2 linked regions of the Drosophila melanogaster genome follow. The protein of the gene in region 2 interacts with the protein of the main gene of each other region in a pairwise test. Each region holds a gene or a part of one and is shown on either strand. Other genes may lie near its edges.

The links. Proteins that work in one complex are often made in the same cells at the same time.
Region 1: the proteins of Odc1 (region 2) and CG12116 interact in a two-hybrid assay, tested with the Drosophila melanogaster proteins (one large-scale study listed by BioGRID).

What each region holds. Positions count from the first base shown.
Region 1 is NC_004354.4:8,466,921-8,470,764, reverse strand, and holds CG12116 (uncharacterized protein), read left to right. Parts: upstream 1-1,752; 5' UTR 1,753-2,010; coding exon 2,011-2,832; 3' UTR 2,833-3,322; downstream 3,323-3,844.
Region 2 is NT_033778.4:8,003,065-8,007,216, reverse strand, and holds Odc1 (ornithine decarboxylase 1), read right to left. Parts: upstream 2,394-4,152; 5' UTR 2,367-2,393; coding exon 2,097-2,366; intron 1,802-2,096; coding exon 1,644-1,801; intron 1,589-1,643; coding exon 1,291-1,588; intron 1,234-1,290; coding exon 985-1,233; intron 855-984; coding exon 786-854; intron 727-785; coding exon 586-726; 3' UTR 545-585; downstream 1-544.

The sequences.
Region 1 (3,844 bases), on a different chromosome or scaffold from region 2:
TGCTCTCGATTTTGATCGAGGTGAATGAAATTTTCACTCTTTCTTCCAGCTAAATGAAATCTTCTAGGGGTCACTTTCCCGCTGAACGACATTGAACGGAGGACAGGGTCAGGTTCAGGTATAGCCTGTGTTCCAAATATGCTTTCCATTAGGTCCACGCCTGCCCACTAAAGCTGCGATGCTACGTGCTTCGGCTTGAAAGCCCCGCGCACTTTTGATAATACCCCTAAATCAACATAAACAGACAGATGTGATGCTATTACCCACTGCCACTGTCCACTGGTGAATTCCAAGAACTTTGGACGATACCATGTGAGTGGCTAACAATGAAGTAGGGGTACACCAACCAAGATGTTCCAGCCATTCAAGACTGGTCATTATCCAACAAGCAAAACAGCAAAGTTATCAAGATTTTGGCATTCATAGGTGCATAGAGGTTTATTTTTGATCTTGGATTTGCAGTTATGTTGCAATATATGAATATATTAATATGTAATTATATATTATAAGAAAAGGGAAGTAGTGCGACTTAGATAATCTGTATACTCTATTTTGCATAGCTATTCCCTCCATCAAATGTGAGCTTATTTGGTTATACTACGATTAGAACTGCGTTCCGTTCCCGATTTCTAAATGGGTCAGCGTCATCTCGAAACGAGAATCCGGGAATCGGCAGCAGACTCCACCGGAATATAATAAGGCCATTAACCTAATTCGAGCTTGTTATTGGCGAAAATATAGTCAAAACAGCAAATTCTGGAAACACTGCCGTCTATCGATAGATCTTGAATATAGATTTTAAAGCACTTCCCTTCCGATCGATAATGTCTATAGAAATATGGAAAAATCACATTTCTAGGCAAAAAAAAAAAAACCCCTATATGACACATTAATATATATGTACCTTACGTTATCTTTAAACATGCGATTTAACGGATGTTTAGTAACGAGAGAGTTCATTAAATTCACACGTGTTACACTACCCATGTAATTCACAGGCATATATTATATGTATTATGTAATTGCAAAAACCATTTGCATTTTATTCGTCTACGAAAGTTCAACGACTGAATGCGATAACCTGTTATGTGATTCGGAAAATAAACATATATACTTAAAATAGGAAAGCAGTTTTAATGGGAAAAAACTATATGAATGGAAATTTATTTAATTTGTTTTGCAAAAAAAAGAAGGGACTTTGCTTAGACAAAACTATAAAATGTACTATTCTACTTTCCACATAATATTGTCCCCATCTGTGCTACACTATTAATTGTTGCCAACTGATTTGTTTACAAAATTCTTTGGTTAATCTCTTGCACTAAAAAGACAACCTTGACTTAGCGCCATATCAAAGGAACTCGATGAACTTCAAGATGACAATCGATCAGGTTTTTGGCTCATGGGAAACAGTGGCAAAGCCAAAAGGGGCTTGAAAAAATTAGCTTATTCTAATATGAAAGTATAAAATGAAATGAAAAGTATAATCTATGTTAAAGCATATAGAGCAATTTGTTTGTTAGGACATTATCTAAACTATGTCTATTTACCAGGACCAGGCCCCCGATGCGTAATATTGGCGCACCACTCCATCAGATTCCAGAGGTTAAATGATGCGCCATGGGTCCGGATTACGGTGCCAAAATCCCAAACATTACAAATGGTTAATGGCACGGCAACAAGACCAGACGCCTGAACCCCGGCTTATCAGTCGATTGGGTTGTATAAAAGCCCCAAGCTGACATCCCCACCAGTCCAGAGCGCTTCTCCATACGGAATCGGAACCTGAGTTGCTCAGTCGAGCATAAATATATATACAATACATATATATGCACATATAGTTGGCCAATCGAAATCGGAATAAAGCTTATCAGTCGAAAACAGAGTCCAGTTGGCAAAGCCCGGAGGAAATAAGGCATCAGTACAGTCGTACAGCTTCAAGTGAAAACAAGTGGAAGATTCTTCAGTTCCCGAAATCCTCAAGTACCCGAAATCCTTTAAATCAAAATAATGGCAGCAAAGAGAATGGATTTAAATAGACGCACCTTTTTGGTGTTGAGCGGCAGCTCAAATCCTTTGGGTCAATCCCTGGCGCTGGAGTTCTGCCGTCGCCTGGCCACTGGATCCCTTGCTTTGATCTTGGATGAGGATCAGGAGCAGCTTCGGGAGCTGGAGAATCATCTCCGGAGCGAACTGAAGACGGAGAACGTTAAGGTGACAATCGGAAAGTTGGACAAAGATCACTCGAATGGTGTGCAGCTAATGGAACAGGCATTGATGGATAATTTCATGGCGGATAAGGACAATCAACGCTTCGAGCGTTCCATAATCCTTCACAACGAGGGAAAGGCGGCCACGCATATGCTCCTGGAACCCCAGAGCGACGACGATTGGAAGGCCTATGTCCAGCAGCAGCTCTATGCTCCGGTGGCGCTCAATCAGACGTGGCTGCAATCGAAGCACTTGGAGCGAGTGGAGAAGCTGGCGGTGAATGTGACCTCATCGCTGATGGTACGTCCATTGGTCCATGCTGGTCTGCTTTGCTCGTGCAAACGGGCCAGGGATATGTACTTCCGCGCCATGGCCGCCGAGGAGTATCGTTTCGGTGTCCATGTGCTCAGCTTCTCGCCCGGTCTGATGGACACCCACGAGGGACAGTGCGATGTGAACGGCAATCGGATCACTCCCGCTGATCTGATAGCCACGAAGCAGTTGCTCCAGCTGCCGAGAATCAAGCCCTGCCAGGCCACACTCAAGCTGATCAACATTCTGGAGGAGATATCCTTTGTCTCCGGTCACGATGTCGACTATTACGACACCTTCGTTTTATGAGTAGCACCGTGGCGGTGGGCTGCGTCCCCGATGGACTCGGTTCTAATCTTGGTTGACGATTTAAATGCTGTACATGACTTGATCGCCTTGGAAATTAATAAAATCTGGCCAATGTCCCAGATTTCAGACCTGCAAGTGCACGAAAATCAAGCACACGAACAGGAAAACGAACGAAAAATTATATTTTTATTTTGGGTGGGTGGGTAGAATTTTAGATTTCTATAGGTTTGCCATTCACAATATTAACATATATTGTTGATTTGCTACTTTCAACTGAATTTGAAATTGAGTCTATTTTTAATTAGAATAGACAGGAATCACCGAAGCACACTCCTTATATTTTACCTATAATATATTTAAAACTGATGTTCAAAAAAAGAGTACTGCAGAATATACTTAGTAATTAGTTACTATTGGTAAATTTGTATGTGCAGGCGTGAGTTTATGAGTCAGCAATGCACAACAGATTAAACAAATATACAGAATATACATATATATATATATATATTTGTTAGCTCAAAACAGAAAATGAGACAGATTGAATAGTCTCAGTGATAAGAAAACCCACACGTGTTCAAATGTATAGAATTTTGTATGTGTGGTGTTGCCGGGTCGAAAATTTTCAAAATTCCCAATAGACTGATTCTTGATCCGGGTTTTCAAAATTATATGTGAAAATTTGGCTACTGAATTTGTAGTTAATAACTAATGAGGTTTTGACAAATCTTTAATCTATACAGTTATAAATGGCTTAGTTCGCCTCATTCTGATTAAATGTATTTATGGTTTTCAATTTTTTTTTTTTTCAGTTTACTTTCAATGAATCAACTGTTTTATATTCAAGGCATACTTTTGGGTATTCCTTATAGAAAAGTAATTTAAAAAGCCATAAGTTGCTCAAAATGTTGCTAAAGCTTTCCTAATCAAATTACAAATGAAATATTGTAAAAAGCAATCAGGAATTATAAATGGAGCTTCCCTACAATGTTGCAAAGATTCTGTAATCAGTTGG
Region 2 (4,152 bases):
GAGTCCCAGCTTTGGGATTATCTATTAGGAAGTGACAAAAACATTATTTATACATAAACGATGTCGACTTTGGACATGAGATGGATTGCTTTTCGGTTTTTTTTTTTCAAGGTCTACGCATCCGTAAATTATGCTACGAGTCAAGTCAACAAATTTATTAAACTAGAACTGGTGGCAATTAAAGTTCCAGTTCATTTGCATGATTGATTTCTAGGCAAATTATAAGAAACTGATACTTAAGATATATTTGATGGATGACAATTTTGGGCTTTTATCGCTTACTGCCTTTTAAATAGATGATTTGTGTGACTTAGAACTATTAGCGAAAAGTATGACAGATCTACTGACTTTCATAGTAACATTACCGTAAGTTGTGAGATCCAAAATTGTTTACGCATGAATTCCCAGCTACGAAATACACATCTCAAATGCTCCTTTTACATACATGAAGATATTTATGGGCCTAACAATCCACCAGCCAGGTATTTTTATAAACCCAAGTCTACTACATATAAAAGTTGTAAGCAAGTAAACAATAGAGAGTCCACAAAATGTTGGTTTTATTGGATTGAGTAAGTGATTTAGTCATATAGCTTGGAAGTACAGGGTCTTGGGGACTTCGAATCCATTGAATGCACTGGCAATGGGCATGGTGTAGGCGCCCATGTTTCGGAATCCCAAAAGATCGCCTCGGTTTAGGTTGGGCAAGTGCAGGTCCTCCGAAATCTGAAGAAGAAATAAAACATTACTTGGTATTGCTAAGTTTCAAGCAACATTTGACTTACCTTATCTAGGGCGTCACAACTTGGCCCCCAAATCAAGGACTTTAGGTGTGGCAAAGATTCTGCATTGTCCTGTGGGAAAATGAAGTGAATTGGGTCTTAAAAACATGTAGAGGTCTGAGCTATTCAAGGGGAACCCCTCTTCTTTTTAACAATGTTCAATGACAACTAAAATAATGCATATGATAATGGACAATCTTACCAGATAATGCTCTGCAATCACCACTTGATGGTCGTACAGAATGCAGTTGAAGGACCCATAGACGCCGTCATTCAGATAGTACATTACGGTGTCCAGTTTGCCAGCTTCGTTCCTGATCTCCCGCTTGGCGTGGATCTTGCAAACCAAGGTGCAGGCTGCCGCCACAAAGAAGCGTCCTGGTTCGGCGATTATGTGAACGCGTTCGTCGGGAAAATGACGCTGCACCGAGGTATTCACACTTTCGGCTATCTGTAAAAAGTTTCCTCTGAGCAATTGCTTCAAAATCCTCTGCTTACTGCATTACACCTTCTCAAACTTTACGTCATCGCTGCCAGGGAACCCACCGCCAATGTCCAGAAAGTCCATGTCATAGCCCAGTAGTGCGCCGAACTTGAAGAGGTTCTTGGCCTTCTTGATGGCCCGATCGTAGGCCTGCAGCTCGCTGCATCCGGAGCCGACGTGGAAACTGGTGCCGGTCACCTTCAGCTCCAAGGATTTGGCCAGCAGCATTAGGGCCGCTGCATCCACATCCGCATCACAGCCAAATTTGTCGCCCAGTGGGCACTGTGCCTCCTTGGCCTCGCTCTTGAATCTCACGATCAGGCTGGATAACAACGTATAGATATACTAATGATCGCATCCGACGGTAGTGCACCTACTTGGAGTTGGGATAGTGCGTGTGCAGCTTGTATACCTCGAACTCATTGTCCACCGTTCCGTTGGACACCTGGTGCTCCTTGGCGTACTCCAGATGGCTGACAGGGCGGCAGGGATTGGCGAAGATGATACGCTCCGGCGAGACATCGAAGCCCAAGACCTTTGAATTGAATTCATGAAAAGAATAATAAAGTTATTAAATTATACGAAATTCCGACAAGTAATCAAATACCAATGTCTGGGCTCTAGAACAACACGTGTTAATCGCTTGAAAAATGAAAACCTACATTCAGAAATTGATAAGGCCCAGAATTACGTTCCATTACTTGGAACATGACTATATAGTACTTTGTACTAAAGTATTTATAAAAACATATTAGTGTGGCACCAAAAACTATGAGATGCACTACCAGGACTTAAGGCACTTGTATATGTAGTAACTATTCCCAACCCACCAGCTTGACTTCGTTTTTGGAGGCGCAGTCGAATCCGGCTCCCAGCTGGGCCAGCAGCCTGACCACCATTGGATCGTCATTGCACTTGACGGCGTAGAAGGGCTTGATCCTGGGCAGGAGCTTCTGCCAGAGGCGCAGCTTACGCTCCACGCTAGACAGGTCGCAGATGTTGAGGGCCTGGTCCAGGCGCTGCAGGTCGCACTCCTCGATCACCCGGCGGATGTTGAGCTCGCGTTCGTAGAACTGGATTTCAGGGGTAGCGGCCGCCATCTCGGAAAGATCTCAACTGAGTGAGTGAGTGGGGCGCTCGAGACGCGGCTAATCCCATACTAGAGGTGTTATCAGTCAACGACTTGTGCTCGAATCGCAACAGACTTGCGAAACATTTGGAAACACGCTCCGTAAACGTTCCTCGCTCGGCGGGAAACAATGAGGCTCTAATTAGCGGCAAAGGTCAAGCGATTGGCCGTTACCCTCCCCTCCTCACTCCTATCCAGCCCAGTGATATTTGCCAGAATGCATTATTTACAACCAACAATATTTGGCATCGTAAATAATTTTAATGCCTGCGCGCGGCTGCACGGGCATGTAAAAGTAATAAAATGTAAATTTCGAACGCCAACTGTGTGTCAACCGAGTGGCCATCGAGTCGCGCATAATCGACACTTGCCCCGCGGACACGGGGCACTTCAAATCGGAATGGCATCAAACCCAAACCCCTAGACACCCCTAGCAAATTCCACGGCAATGACAATGGTAATAATAATAGCAATAGAAGTGGAAAGGAGGGTTGTTGTGGTCTGTGGCACGGCCAATTTAGCAACCCTCGACTGGGTCCGAACGGCAATTAAAAATTAAAATCTAACTTTCGTAATCGATATTGGCAATTGCAGTTGCCGACTTGCCGGCTTGCCGGATTGTCCTATCAATCAACCTTTAATTGGCCAAACCCATCAATATTTTTTTCCGCACACCCTTTGGCCTTCGGCGAAGATGTTGCCGGCGAAAGGAGTTAGGATCCCCAGAATGATAACTGTCAGAAAGCGCGGACAAAAGTATTGACTATTGAGCGATGGCCGCGAAACGTATATCTTGTCATGCTCAAAAATCGAGGCGAGCCGCTTTCATCCGAATCATTGCGATTCGATTGCAATTTGCTGCGAGTGTCATCATTCACTCGAATTCAGTTTTCCAGCTCCGATGCGATTTCAAAACTAACCCGAACCGCAGCGAGCACTCCCCACTTTGAGTGATGTGTCAAATCGACGACAGGCCGAAAAGTGCTCACAAAAAAATTCGAAATCTAAATCGGAATGGGAATTGGAATGCCAGGCACTCGAGCCATGTTGAATTGTAAAACTGGTTTCGCCTTTTTTAACACCTAAATGCGTTTAAATCATTCGCCCAAATTGCCGGAAATTTACATGCGAATGTCATTAGTTCAGTCGTCAGTCCCAGCCCTTCCCATGCCAATTGATTTGCTTTCTAAATCCATTGCAACTACGCTAGTCGATGGGAAAGTCAAATGAGAAACATAAGTAAATAGTTTATATTTCGAAAAACTATTGTACTTAAGTATTCGCTCCCTGAAAGTATCAAATTTCAGCAAATGCGAGGAAGAATCGGGGTCACCAAACTCAAATCGTCTGCGCAACACAAGTTTATTACACACATTTTCATGAGTCTGTAGATAAGCAAGCACATCAAAACACTCCTTTTTATAAGAGAACTTTAAAACGATTTCTTTACTCAAGTTCATCGACGTAGTTAAACATTTAATAATATTGTAGCTTAAATGAATATACTTTACTAGGCGATAACCCTGTTGTTTTGACAAATTTCAATATTTATTCTTATTCTTGAAATCTAGCACTAATCGGTGATCAATCTTATAAGCATTTTATAAGGTGATTAAAATTGAACCCAGAGAATGTCCCAAAAAATCTCATAAGCATTTTATAAGGTGATTAAAATTAAACCCAGAGAATGTCCCAAAAAATAGGCCCCGAAAACCTGAAAAGAATCTTGTCGGAATAATAAATGGCGGTTTGTAAAG